Linked DNA regions of Diceros bicornis minor. The protein of the gene in region 1 interacts with the protein of each later gene in a pairwise test. Links are inferred from orthologs where the notes say so. Each region holds a gene or a part of one and is shown in the gene's direction. Other genes may lie near its edges.

Region 1 (7,414 bases):
CCCTCGGGGGCTGTGACGGGCGCAGGGGAGGCCTGTCGCCCCCACCCACCAGGCACTCCACCTCTCTGGGGTCCACTGTCTGTCTCTTTGACACAAAGACTTTTGTCCCTGCAGATGTGGTAGGGAGACATCCGGGCTTGTTAGTGATGTGTTTGCTAACAGACAGACAGGATTTAAACTTCATTTGTAGACGGACTCTTCCATATCCTACTCTTAAAATTGAACACGATGTCACAGCATTGCATGTGGCGATTACAGTGTTTGCACCATCCTTTACGCGGCCACCTAATATTCCCGAGGGAGCCAGTATCTCCACTGAATATTCCCTACATGTCGGGCCTTGTGCTTAGATGTCGGAGCCCAAACCCACAACAGATGGGCTCCCTGCCCTCGTGGTGCTGCCACGGTCCCCAGACCAGGCCCAGTCATGGGGCTTCATTCTTTCCAATGTGCATTATTATCAATAAGCCCATATGTAACATCTTCTTAGGACAGCCCTTCAAAATAATTTTTACTAAAACAGAGAAAGAGAAATGACAAACCCACAGAAATAAATTCCACAGTTCCAGTTTCAGTAGCAGACTAACGAGTTGGGTTGGCTGGAGTGGCCACGGGGGATGTGGTCTGAGCTCGTGACAATTGATCATGGTGGCGCGTCACACAGGATTCCCATTAAGTGAGTTCATCCCTAACAGTATATCCACAGTTGGGGAAAGTAACTCACCTAAGGCCACACAGCTAGACGTAGGGAGGAGCTGAGATGACGCAAAGCCTGGACCTCAGACACCAGCAGTGCTGGCCCCACAGTCCCGGCCCCAGAGGGGGTGGGAATAATAATTGCAATAATAAAATCATCCCTGCTGTTACTGTGTGAGCTGGGGACTGTGCAAAGTGCTTTACGTGGGTTATTTTTAATCCACTCGTTTACTGAATTATAGCCTACGTACAGCAAAGCACACTGCTCACGTGCATGCTGGGGGACGCAATGTCCCAAAGTGGACCCAGCTGCCTTCCAACCACCAGGAATCAAGAAACAGACACCCTGTCCCCAGGAGCCCCTCCTCCCAGTCCCCGCCCCCACCCCCTCCCCAGAAGTGACCACTCTTGACCTCTAACTCCATAGGTTAATTTTATCTGAACTTCATAAAAATGGAATCCTACCATATTTATGTGGAGTATTATTTAATCCTTCGAGGTAACAATAATGGCCAACTCTTATGACTCTTATATGTCACTCACTACCTGTCAGGCCCTATTCTAAGCTCTTTGTTTATATCATCATCGAATCCTCTCAACAACCGCACAAAGTAGGTACTGTCACCATCGTCACCCTCATGCTGCAAATGAGGAAACTGAGGCACAGAGAGTTTCAGGCACACAGCTCACCAGCAGCAGAGCCAGGATTTGACCCCAGGCCGTCTGGCTCTAGAGGCCACACTCTGAACCCCTTTAGGGTGAGGCCCACACTCACCCTAATGAGGTACCCTGATCAGTCTCATTTTACAGAAGAAGAGACTGAGGTTCCAAGAGGTCAAACCACTTGGGCAAGTCCTATGGCTGGCGGGTGGCACAGCCACTGTCTGGCTCTAGGGCCTGACTCCAGCCTGGCCATCCCCAGTCGCCTGATGGCCCCCACACCCCAGTCCACTCTCTGACGCTCACCCTCCCATGTCCTTCCCCCCAGAGGTCTTCGCAACAGCCGGGCTACAGCCGGGGACATCGCTCACTACTACAGGAATTACGTGACCAAGAAAGGCCTGGGCCACAACTTCGTGTCTGGCGCCGTGGTCACGGCCGTGGAGTGGGGGATACCTGAGCCCAGTGGCTCCGGGGCCCAGGACCCCAGCCCCCTCTTCCAGGTGAGCGGCTTCCTGACGGCCGAGGACCGGAGTCAGCAGCCCTTCTCCCTGTGCGCCCGCAACGTGGTGCTGGCCACAGGCACGTCGGACAGCCCGGCCCGGCTGGGCATCCCCGGGGAGGCCCTGCCCTTCGTGCACCACGAGCTGTCGGCCCTGGAGGTGGCCACACGGGCGGGCATGGTGACCCCGGCCTCAGACCCCATCCTCATCATCGGGGCAGGGCTGTCGGCGGCCGACGCGGTCCTCTACGCCCGCCACTACAACATCCCGGTGATCCACGCCTTCCGCCGGCCCGTGGACGACCCCGGCCTGGTGTTCAACCAGCTGCCCAAGATGCTGTACCCCGAGTACCACAAGGTGCACCAGATGATGCGGGAGCAGTCCATCCTGTTGCCCAGCCCCTACGAGGGCTACCGCAGCCTCCCCGAGCACCAGCTGCTGCTCTTCAAGGAGGACCGCCAGGCCGTGTTCCGGGACCCCACGGGCCTCCAGAAGGTCTTCGGCATCTCCCTGGTGCTGGTCCTCATTGGCTCCCACCCCGACCTCTCCTTCCTCCCCGGGGCGGGCACTGACCTTGCCATGGACCCTGACCAGCCACTGAGCGCGAAGAGGAACCCCATCGATGTGGACCCCTTCACCTACCAGAGCACCCAGCAGGAGGGCCTGTATGCCGTGGGGCCGCTGGCCGGGGACAACTTTGTGCGGTTTGTCCAGGGTGGGGCCCTGGCCGTGGCCAGCTCCCTGCTGAGGAAGGAGGCCAGGAGGCCGCCCTAGCACCCGGCCTGGCATCCTCGCACCCAGGCCCTAAAGAGGCAGGGAGATCACCACAGCCCTGCAGACACAGGCCATCCCAAGATGCCCAGTGAGAGAAGGAGACCTCTCCTGGCAGGAGACAGGAGCGGCCACAAGCCCAGGAGGCGGCCTCACCAACGAAGAGGAGTGGGGAGGCCAGGCTGCCCGGACTCAGGCCAGGGCTCAGGAACAGTGGCCACAGGCCGAGGCAGGCCCAGACCTGTGAGTGGGGCGAAAGCTGCCAGCCTGAGCAGGGATCACCAGGGCCAGCTGAGCACCACGCCAGGAGGACTCCAGGCCCCGCTCGTTCCAGAATCAGGTCCCAAATAAAACCAGAGCCTGCCTCCACTCATGTGTCTGAGGATTCTACGCTTGGGGAGGGGCCCGATGCCCAGGACCCTTCTCTGGGAGCTGGGGGGAGGGCACAGGGCCATGTAGGAGGAAGTCCTTGGACTGGGGGGTTGGGAGATAAGGGATGGTGCCCCAAGTGGGGGACAGCTATGTAGAGAAGTGAGGGGAGGGTGTGGAGAAACGAGGTGCTGGGGAGCCTTCTGCAGCCCTCCCACCCCTCCAACCTAGTCCCTGCTGCTCTCCCACTTGGTTCCAGCCACACTGTCTCCTTTCAGTTCCTCATCAGGCTTGTACCTGCTGCAGGGCCTTTGCACAGGCTGGTCTCTAGCCCAGGGCATTTTCCCTCCTCTCTCTTCCTCTTTCTCCTCTTCTTCCACTCTCTCAGCATAAGGATCACCTCCTCTAGGAAGCCTCTTCTGACGAAGACCCCTCCAGGGCCACATGGCCACCAGGACAAATCCTTCACTCATGGCCCAAAGTGCCACCTCTTTATGGCAGTTCAGTTGTAATGGTTTATTTATTTGTGAAATGGTTCCAGTATCTGGCTCCACCCACTTGGATGTAAGCTCCCGGAGGCCAAGGACCCAGTCTGTTTTGCCCATTATTGGAATCCGGCGCCTAGCACAGGGTCTGGGGCCTAGCACCTATCGGGTGCTCCCTAACTAATCCTTTGGACCAGTGGATGGATGGATGGATGGATGATGGATGGACGGATGATGGATGGGTGGATGATGGATGGATGGATGGAGTGTGAGGGGAAGAGGATGTTCTGGGGCGCAGCCTGGTTCCGGTCTTTGTGTAATGGGAGGCGGAGGTCTGGGGGAGCATGCACGCCCCCGGGAGGGAGGAGTAGGTGTCAGTGGGAGTGATGGGGGAGCCCGCGCGCGTGGGCACTCATCTCGGGAGCTGGAGCCGGCAGAGGGCGCTCCAGGCTCGCCGGACACCTGAGCTCCGGCCCCTGCGGCGGCGCCACGGGTGGGGTGGGGGGACCTTCGGGAGGGCAGCCCCCAGGGATGCCCCCCACGCAGCCAGACCCCCACCAACCCCGTGCCTACTGGGCAGCGCAACACCCCCCCATGCGGCCGGGCCGGGGTCCAGCCGCCAGGCCTCGCGCTCCGGGCGGGCAGCCCCCTGCCGCCGCGCCTGGCCGCGGGAGTGGGGGGAGGGGGGTGTGGACACGGGGCACGTGGCTCGGGGTCCGGGCGGAGCGCCCCCCTCCCCCTCCTTCCCCGGAGGCGGCCCGTCCCCGCGGTGGCCGCGGCCGTGGGGGCCGAGAGCGGGAGGGCGGGGCGCGCGGGCGGCGCGGGGAGGGGGTCGCGCGGGGGCGGGCCGCGGGCCGGGCGGGGGTCGGCGGGCTTCCGGGCGGCGGCGGCGGCGGCGGGCGCGGCGCGATGTGCGAGCGGGCGGCGCGCCTGTGCAGGGCCGGCGCGCACAGGCTGCTCCGGGAGCCGCCGCCGCAGGGCCGGGCGCTGGGCGGGCTGCTGCGCTGGGTGGGCGCCAGGATGGGCGAGCCCCGGGCGCCGCTGGCCCCCGACGCCCCCGCCGCCCCTTCCGCGGACCCCGGCCCCGGCCCCGCCTCGCCGCGCGGGGGCACCGCCGTCATCCTGGACGTGAGTACGCGCTGGCCGGGACCCCGAGTCCCCTCCTCTCTCGGGGGCGACCCCGACGCCGCCCTCCCGGGTCCCCGCCCCGACCCGCGTCCTCTCCTCCCTGCGCAGACGACCCCGACCCATCCCCCTCTGCGCCCCAGAGCGCGAGCCCCCAGCCCGTCACGTCCCGGCCGGGGTCTGTCCCCGAACCAGGACGACCTCTCCTTCCACCAACCTCCCTTCACTTCTCGGGACCCCCACCTTCCCGGAGCCGGGACTCTGGAGCCCGTCGCCCCGGCCACTGCCCCCCTACTTCTGTGCTGGCCAAACCGTCGTCTTTTCCCCAGCCCCGCGCCTCGCTCTTTACTCTCATCCCCTCCTGAGACCGGAGCCCCCTCCTCCTCTCCACCCCGGATCCCTGCCGAGTCGCTACTTTTCTGAGAGACAACCCCCCCCCCCCCCCCGGGCTTTAGGTGCCGGCTTTCTCGTCCTGGCTTTAGACTCTGAGCCCGGTATTCCCCTTTCGCTCCGACACAGCCTCTTTAAAAGTGAAGCCCCCTCCCCAGCTGTCTTCCCCTCCCCTTTCAGTGGAGCCAAACCACCCCCATCTTCGCTGATCCCGGACCCCCTGGGCTCCCCCCAGCCACCCCCACTGCACTCCTAGGCCCCTCTGTCCCCCATTCCCTTCCCACCCTCCCTCTATTCACCGCCCCCCCCCAGTCCCCTCTGGGACTCAAAGCTCCACTTCACCCCCCCCCCACGCACTCCCCCGGGTGGGAGAGAGATTCTACAGGGTGGATGGCCGCCCCGTGGGAAACTTCTTCATTCTGGGGTTCCTGCCCCCCAGTGAGATCACGGGTGGTGGGACATGCATGTCCCAGTGAGGGTCCTTTTGTGGTGGGGGTGGCCGCAGGATGGGGTGCTTCACGTGTGTGTGGTGGCTTTCTGGGAGTGTTGTGTGTGTGTACTGCACGGCCCTATGAGTGGGGGGACCGTGGGTCTCCTCTCTTCTGGAAACCGTAGTTGACTCTGGGTGGAGAGGACTGGGTAGGGAAAGGGAGCTGTGCTCTGAGTGCTTGTGGCTCCAGTGCCCCCAAACACACACACACAGCCCGACACACACTTACACAGCTAGACCCCCCCTCCCTCTCCCCCTCTCTCTCTCTCCCCCTCCCTCCCTCTCTCTCTCCTCTCAACCCCAGCGGAGTTCACGCTGAAAGCCCAGGGCCACAGGGTCCGGAGACGCAAGCCTGCCCTCGTAGGGAAGCCTGCACCGACCCCTCCTGATTCTCTCTGACAGTCGGGAGGTGGGCTTCGAGTCCTCATGCTGGCGGTGTGTGGGCTCTGAGTCTGCATTTCCTCCTCTGTGAAATGGGGTGATGAGCGGGCGTCGGGGCTCACAGGCTGGTGCAGACTCCTCGAGCCGCATCCCTGTGGTCCTGTCATTCCCTTGTTTAACACCCCGGCCCAGAGCAGGCACCTGAGGGTGGGACCCCGGCCTCAGGAACCTCACAGTCAGGAGCAGGGGTGTGGGGCGCCCAGGCTGGGGCTTTGAGGAGGGCCTGGAGTGGTCCCATAACTGCCTCCCTTTCTGCTCCAGCCACAGTGGGTTCCGCCTGGTGCCCTGGACTCGGGGTTCAGCTGAGGGAGGGGGGTGATGTTCCAGAAGCCCTCCCTGAGCTGCTGCTTCAGTCTGTCCCAGCCCCAGGGGCCTGATAATGGATGCCCGCCCCATTGGTGGAAGGATGGGGGGGCATCCTCCCTTGGCACCAAGGCAAGGACCAAAGATGGGGTGGTCATGGGGGGGCCCTCCCCCTCCCCCTCCCCCTCCCCCTCCTCAATCAATCAGCATGGCTTACCTGGTCCCAAAAATAACAAGAGAAGGAGTTATCTGGTCTCACCTGAGGCTTGGAGGGGGCGGGGGGGGGGGGGGGGCGGGGGGGGGGGGAGGCGTGCCCTGCCTCCAGCCCCTCATGATGCAGCCAGAACTTTGCATCTGCAGCTGGTTCCCTACTGCCTACTTCCACCCACTCCCCCACCCCCAAAATAATCCAGCCCTGCCCGCGGCTGGTCCACTCGCCAGGTCTCGAGGTTCTGTTAGCAGACCCCTTCCTTCAGACTTAACCCAACCTCCCTGGAGAAAACCGGGGCTCCCCAGGGGTTCTGGGAGGGGTGCAATGGTGTAAGGCGTGTGGCTGCGCCCATGGGACACAATTCTGAGTGTGCGACTGAGCACAGGACAGTGGGTGAAGCCACGTGGACCGATAGCTCTGGAAGTCCACCCGCAGGCGTGTGGATGGGTGTGAGCGTGTCCACGCGCGTGTGCGTGTGTGTCGGCGTGGCCGTGGGCAGGCTGGCGGCACAGAAGGGAGTGGGTGGCTGCTTCCGCGCGGGCGGCTGGGGCGGTCTCCGCCTGAAACGTCCCTTCCCCGCCCCTGGATCCCAGCCGGGGTCTCCTCGCTGGGGAGGGGGTGAGGCTCAGCTTCCCCAGGCCCGCGGGGGACGAGTGGGGTCTCACTACCGGTCAGAACCGCTGGAGGGCGCCTGCCCGGCTCGGCCCAGGCTGACTCGACCTCTCTTCTCTGCAGATTTTCCGCCGAGCAGACAAAAATGGTGAGTTTCCCTCCCCCACCGTCCCTGAATGAGGACTTGGTTCTCTGTCCAGATGCTTCAGGGAAAGGGGTCAGATGTAGAGACATGGACTACCTCAAACCTAAAGGTTAAGAGTGCAGGACTCTGAAGTCTGAAGGCTGGATCCTGGCTCTGCACCTCAGTTTCCCCATGTGTACAGTGGGACTCCCACAGTGCCTACTTAGTAGGGAT
Region 2 (6,900 bases), on another chromosome or scaffold:
AGTGAGAGTCGGAATAACAATCCCCGAAGGCCCTCCCTGAGACGGTTAACCTGTGTTGTTTCCACATTCTGGGGCCTCCTGGGTGTTGGGTCTACCGTGTCAAGCCTGTAGCGGACTCGGAGTTCGTGACCGTAGCTGTGAAAGGTGGGAGGAGAGAACTGTTCAGCAGGCTGTATCACAGGATCAGCAAAGCATGAAAGGCTTACCAGGAAGAGCCAGGACACCTGCACTAACGTACCCTGCCTTAGAGCCTCGTCTTAGCCTCTGCAGATCTTCCAGCCCCGGAGCACAGCATTTAACTCTTCACCAAGTATTCTCAGGAATACAATTTCATGTGATCACTGCAATCCTGTGACAGAGGCTGACTGCCCCCATTTTACAGACGAGCAAACTGAGGCCCAGAATGAGACGGATGGCCCGAACTTGCAACTTGAGTTTTCAAGTCTCAAAAGAACCCATGCCTGCACTCTTTCAACAACCCTACAGATACCTGGAGCTAAGAATTAAAATATATATATATCAGCCCCAAAGCCAAACCTCATAAATGAACTTGGGGGCCATTGGAGAAAATGCTCTTCTACATCCCTCCAATATTTTCTATTTTTCTTGTCCCCCAACCAGACTGTAAGTCCTGAGGGCAGGGGCTGTGGCTGAAAATTCCATTATCTCCCAAGTTGCTTAGAATGGTACACAGAGCAGGTACTTGCTAAACGTGGATTAAATACAAATATTCTGAAATACTATGCAGTCATAAAAAAGGAAATAGCTGTCCATGGAGTGATAGGAAGTGATCTCCAAGAAGTGAAGAAAACACAAGGTGTTCAGCAGCGTGGATCAGATACTATCACTTGGGCTAAAAATAGGAAAAGAAAAAAAAATACACATACACCCACATATATACACACACACTCACACAAAACACTCTGTCTGGGAACGGTGTGTTTGGCAACACTGGTTCCCTCCAGAGAAAAGAAGGAGATAGCTGGGGGCCAGTGGGGAAGGGACTGGCAGAGCTGGGGTGGGAGGGAGTCCCAAGTCCTGATTCCTTCCCCAGCCAGCTGGGTTTGCTGCTCCCAAAAAGCCCCATGAACTCTTGTGAAAGTTCTTGGTCAGCTATGCACACATCAGGATGCGGAGAAGGTCCAGCAGACAAGAGGCCCCCATTTTGTATTTGATATAATATAAAATCTGAATCCCCCAACACGATGACATTTGCAAACAACCAGGGCGACCCTAAAGTGAATTATCCAAATCGAGACACTTTTGGAGTGAAAGTGGTGCTATTAATAATCATGCCCCGGCGACAAGCACAAACCAGACTTCCTGGGAAAACCAAGACTAGCCCCCCACAAAAATTATTGTCAGGAGGCTGGCGAGAAGACATTTGGACAAGGGCCTTCAAAGGAACATGGTCTGATTCTAATACTTCACCCCCCCTTCCCCCCCACTACCCCTCCCCCAAATACTGACAAGAATAGAGGCTTTGGGTAAACCGGGTTCAGATCCTGGCTGTGTTCAAACCACCTGACTTCTCTGAACCTCAGCTTCTTCATCTGTAAGACAGAAATTCTGACCCATCTGGAGGGACACTGCGAGAATGAAATGCCTCACGCAGAGCCGGGCTCGGAGAAGATGCCCAGGAAGACTGGCTGCCCTTCCCCTAACGCAGAGAAATAATGAAACGACACAGGCTTCATCCAGAAACTCTGGGGGGTGCACAGAGAGCGCCTTTCTCCCAGACCAGAGTCACAGACGCCACTGCGGGAGGAAGTGTCAGCCCCGTGCGCAGGGAGACGTTGATTCTAATTCTGGGAGTCATTTTGCGAAGCACCTCTTCGAGGTGACTCATTTGGGGACTCGCTGAAAAATCCTTTGAGTTAAAAACAAAAGTTGAGTGGGGCTCAGGTTGCGTCGTACCTTTTCCCTCCACCCCCTGCCCTGGCCAGGAGAGTGGGGGGAGTGCAGGGAGTCTGGAGGGTCTCTGGGCAGAATTTAACCTATTTTTCCCCCAGCATGTCACCAGGGGCTGGGACCAGGCCAAAGGGTAGGAAGTAGGGGGCGAGGAGGAGGAAGGCCAGGAAAACGGGGTGGAGATGACTTCTCCCATCCCCTCTCCCACAGTCCTGCTGCTGCACCCTCCTGTTTCTAGAAACCTACAGCAAAAGCCTGGGCCACCCCCTCCCATTCCTGAATTATAGTCCAAGAGGGAAGGAAGGGGCTGGAAGGACTTCTTCATTCCCCTAGCACTCAGCAGCAGCCATCAGCTGGCCTGCAGCCAGACCCATCTCTGTTGATTGTGGCTGGCTGTGTGACCTGGGGCACATTGCTTGACCGCTCTGGGCCTCCGTTTCCTAACTGGAAAATGAGGACACTAGGAGTACCTGTTACAGGGGCTCTGTGAGGCTGGAAAGGGGCTTTGCAAATGGTAGAGTTTTACACAGATACTTGCCAGGGCCCCAGTGGTCTGGTGCTGCTCCCCGAGTTTCCTTCAAAGGGGAATTTCAGGTTCTTGCTCTGTAGCGTACCAGGACGGGTCTCGGAGCATGGGGCCTGTCCTAGTCACTTCCCCTCATACAGGGCTCTGCTCAAATGTCACCTCATCAGAGAGGCCTTCTCCCAGCACCGCTATGAAAAAGCGCTCCTGGGCTCTCCTCCCCCTTCTCTGCTTTATTTTCTCCACCAGACTTATTATCCTCATCATGCCAGGTACTTTTCTTCCTCCCAGCCCCCACTCCCAGATGGAAGCCCTAAGAGAGTCAGGGTTATATTTTGTTCGCGAGCATATCCCAGTGCCTAGAATAGTACCCGTCCCATAGAAGGCGTTTGTGGATACGTGTCCGGTGAATGAATGAATGAACTAATGTTTGCTGCACGAGTATAGCCAATATCACTGATCCGCTAGTAACACTGCAACACACTGTCTCAGAACTTCTGTCTTTCGATTACTTTTTGCAATGTTTATTTCTCATATTTAACTCTTCAATCTTCATCTATCTGACATTTACTGCAAGGTATATCATGCGAGGTGAGGTTGTAAACAGATCCCCAATTAAACAGCTAACCAATGTGCAGAGTGATCCATTTCATCCCTGTTGGTTCGTGGAAGGGCTGGACTGGGCTGGCTCCTCTGGATCGGCTGCTGCCCGGTCTGCCCCTTCTTACACCAGCAGCCCAGAGCTATGCTGCTCATGAGGTGAGACTGCGTAGATTAGGCACACAGGCACTGGAAGTAGACAATCTGCGGTCCAGCTTCTAGCTCAACCACTTACCAGCTGGGTGACTTTGGGCAAGAGAATTTGCTTCTCTAAGCTTCAGTTCTAAGCCTCGTTTGCTGTAAAATGGGCACGAAAGTAGCATAATGACTCCTTCTGAGACTAGCGGCGGGACTGAACACCACAAGGCAGGCAGAGCGTGCAGCCGCGAGTCCCGCACACAGCGGGGGTTCAGTGGGTGACATTATTGTTATAGCTCACAGCCAGTGGAAACATGTTCACTCACCGGGCAAACGAGGCCCAGCGGGCATCCGCCTGCACCCAGCACAGCGCTATGATCAAGCTGGGCAGCTGGCAGGCAGGCAGTGTCAGTCTCTGGTTCCGGCAGTTTTGCATGTGGTGGAGAAGCAGCAAGTGTGGAAACAGGAACTGTCCGAGCCAGGAGCGTCCCCTTTTGGGGGGGCGGGGGGGGGCGGGTCCCCTTAGGAAGTGAGGCGGGGAACTGAGCTGCTGCCCTTGGGCCCCCATGGAGACTGTCTCCTTAGAGGGTGTGACAAGCATTCATTAGGGGAGTCTGACTTCTTCCAGAAACCTCTGCACATTGACGTGCTGGTTCTGGGATCCACAGGAAGCGGGGAGCGCCAGACGGGGAGACGTTGGCGCTGAGGGCGGGGAGCAGCACCTTCACCACATCGACATACTTTCGGAGCCTGCTTCGTGCCCACATTCAGCAGGCGTAAATAAGCGCTCGTTGGTTAGCCCATTTCAGTGCAACCGGGGCTGTGATGGGAGCAGTGTCAGGCGATGGGTACTCAACAGTGCGTGGGAGGGGTCCCCGGGGTTGGCTGAGTGCAGACTCTAACCCTAAGGGTCTAGAGCCCGAGAAGAGGGGGAGATACTGGGCCCGACTCGCGGTGTGAGCTTGGGCCTCAGTTTCCCCATCTCTGAAACGGGGAGGGGGCGCCTCGGCTGAGCGGACCACTCGCTGCCCAAAACGCTGGGGGCAGTGGAGGGATCCCGGCGCGGCGAGGGCGCCGCGGGGGCGCCCCCCGAGCCTGCGTGGCGGCAGCGCGCACGAGCGCAGGGGGCGGCGCGGGCCCGCGGCGGGGAGGGGCGGGAGCGCGCGCGCGAGCCCGCGCAGGCGGCGGCGGAACCGAGCGGACGAGCGTGCGGCCGCGGCGCCGCCGACTCGTGTGGGACCCGCCGCTGCCGCCGGCGCCCGCCGTCCGCGCGCCGCGCCTCCCGCCGGCAGCCGAGCCCGCCCGCGCGCCGGTGAGTGGCCTGGGGCCGGGCCGGCCGGATCGGGCCGGCGCAGGCCGGGGAAGGGGCGGGGGCCGGGCCGCGGGGCCGTCACCCACACCCGGGCCGAGCGGGGTGCGCGTGCCCGCGCGCGCGCCCGGGGCTCCGCGGGGGAGAGCGGGCGGCTGTGCACGCGTGAGGTCGGGGCGCGTGTGAGCGTGCGAGTCTGAGTGTGTCCGCGGCCGTGCGTCCAAGCGTGCGTGGGCGGCGTGTCCAGCTGTCCCCGGGGCTGTGTTCGCAGGAGTGTGTGCGTGTGCACATCGGCGTGTCAGGGTTGTGTTGTTTGGTGTGAACGAGTGCGGGGGAATGGGCATGGCTCCCCCTTATCCGTTTACTGAGTGTGTTCTCTGTGCCAAGGAGTGTGCCAGGGGCTTCTCGTGTATTCTCATTTTGTGACCCACTCTGTGTGGATTCAGGGAGTATGTGTGTGTGCATGCACGTGCATGAGTGTTCACAAGTGATTTGTGTGCGCGTTTGTGAGCCTGTGAGGACAAAAGTGTGTGTATGTGGATGTGAGCGTGTAATTTGTGTCCAGGAGTGTGTGTGTGTGTTTATTATGGAGGCTGAGGGCCCCCCTTTGTGCCTACCGGGCCTGCTACGTGATGTGCCCACAGCTGGCCCCCATGCAGGGGGCCCGTGGAGAGAAGCAGGCCTGGCGGGCACCCAGTGGGTGCCGGGCCTTGTTTGGTGAGTGAAGAGCCAGAGGTCAGACCCACAGATCCCTGCTGGGCCTGGCAGGGGGCGTGGCCCCAGAGCCAGGCCGGGGCAGGGCCACTGGCAGGACCATCTGTGGGACTCCAGGGCGCACAGGCTGGGCTGCGGCTGTGATGGGCCTGGCACTGGAGGACTTGTGTTCAGTTCTTCCTAAGTGCCCTCTGGGTCCCCTGGCTTTGTTCTTGCCCCTCTCTGGCCCTGGTTCCCTGGGGGGCTCACCCCCCGGGGAGACCAGGGGTCTGGAGTCGCTTGTCTGTGTATCTGGGGGTCTCCCTCTGCCTGCCTCCCTGAGTAGATACGTATGCATCTGATTTATTTGTATCCAGCCTGGGCTCCATGTGAAAGCCCCGAGACAATAACAAATTGATCACAGCAGGCTTGGGACACTGTCTTCCAAGGTCTGTCCTTGTAGGTTTGACTGACAGGTTTTTGGGGGCTTTATGAACGTTGAAAATCTCTGCAGTCGAAAGTCTTAATTGCTTTAAGGCAAACTTCAGAAAGTCTGGAGCTCCCTCGTTCCTCTGAATTGTCAAAATTCAGCTCTCCTTTCCGAGGGGAAAATGTCGTCTTAGGAGCTCAGTGTCTGCGCAGGCAAACCTGGGAGGCCCATTTAAAAACCGTAGCGTTAATGGAAGAAGAATTTCATTGAAAGGGATGCAGAGCTGGCTGGAGGCGCCTGTTCCCAACACGGCAGCTTACCGAGTGAACTTTGAACGTGGTCTTTTAGCAAACAAAACCTGGAAGGAAACAAAAAAGACCCACATTCTTTTTCTTTTTGTCCTAAAAAATGAAAAACAACACCTTCTGGATTTGCTGGAAATGCCGCCTCCCCTTCCCCCAGCAAGGCCAAGCCCTCCCTCTATCCCCCACCCCCAAATAAAATATGCCTGTGGGGAGCTGCGGATGAGTCACTCCCTGGCAGAGAGCCCCACGGGCAAACATTTGGGAAGGTTCTTGCCTAACTTCCCAGAAGAAAAGCCCAGGATTTAAAATGGTCCCTGTGGTTTGTCAGCCCCTGCGTCCCGTCTGCTTCGGAAATGACTAAAAAGTAGTTTCTGTCTTCACAAGACAGAGTCTCAGACTTAAGCAGCAGCCCAGGTTGGTCTGGATTTAGGGCCGTTCGGGTTTCAAGAAACGGAGCTCCTGGCTTTGCCAGGTGGCACTGCTGGTGGCTTTGAGCAAGGAACGAACAGGGAAAGGGAAAGAGAAGTCACATTTATGGAGCACCCACTGCGTGCGGAGAGAAGGGCTGCAGGATAGTCATCCTGCAGAGAATGGCTTTCGGTTTTATGTGCACAAGGAACTGAGGCTCAGAGGGGTCAAGCCTGTGTCCTGGGACACAGATTCCTGTCACCTGCCTGACTTCACGCCCATCCTCTTTCCATTCCCCCGGGAGCATGACATGTGCCTTCTGAAGGTGCACAGACTGTGTGCTGAGTGCTTTAACAGGCATCCATGCATTTAATTTTCACTGGGAGGTAGGGGATTCTGTCTCCATTTTACAGATGAGAAAACCGGGGCTCAGAGGGATGAAACAATGTGTGTAATTTTATGAAAGTATTGCTACAACCAGTGGCCACCATTTATTGAGGGTATACCATGTGCCACGAAGGGTACTGAAAGCTTTAAGTGCCGTGTCCCGCTCAATCCACTCACCCGCACTGTGCGATGGGAA

Evidence for each region. The genes of interacting proteins can lie anywhere in the genome.
Region 2: the proteins of NECAB2 (region 1) and NEK6 interact in binary tests that used the Homo sapiens proteins (3 or more experiments, as listed by UniProt). The link is inferred for Diceros bicornis minor from reciprocal best matches to the Homo sapiens genes NECAB2 and NEK6.

What each region holds. Positions count from the first base shown.
Region 1 is NC_080771.1:33,091,586-33,098,999, forward strand, and holds the start of NECAB2 (N-terminal EF-hand calcium-binding protein 2), read left to right. Parts: upstream 1-4,393; coding exon 4,394-4,612; intron 4,613-7,179; coding exon 7,180-7,204; intron 7,205-7,414. Other genes in the region: OSGIN1 (oxidative stress-induced growth inhibitor 1), read left to right, coding at 1,685-2,633. UniProt on the Homo sapiens protein: May act as a signaling scaffold protein that senses intracellular calcium.
Region 2 is NC_080767.1:32,843,251-32,850,150, forward strand, and holds the start of NEK6 (serine/threonine-protein kinase Nek6), read left to right. Parts: upstream 1-3,899; 5' UTR 3,900-3,966; intron 3,967-4,402; exon of another isoform or gene 4,403-4,484; intron 4,485-6,900. UniProt on the Homo sapiens protein: Protein kinase which plays an important role in mitotic cell cycle progression. Required for chromosome segregation at metaphase-anaphase transition, robust mitotic spindle formation and cytokinesis.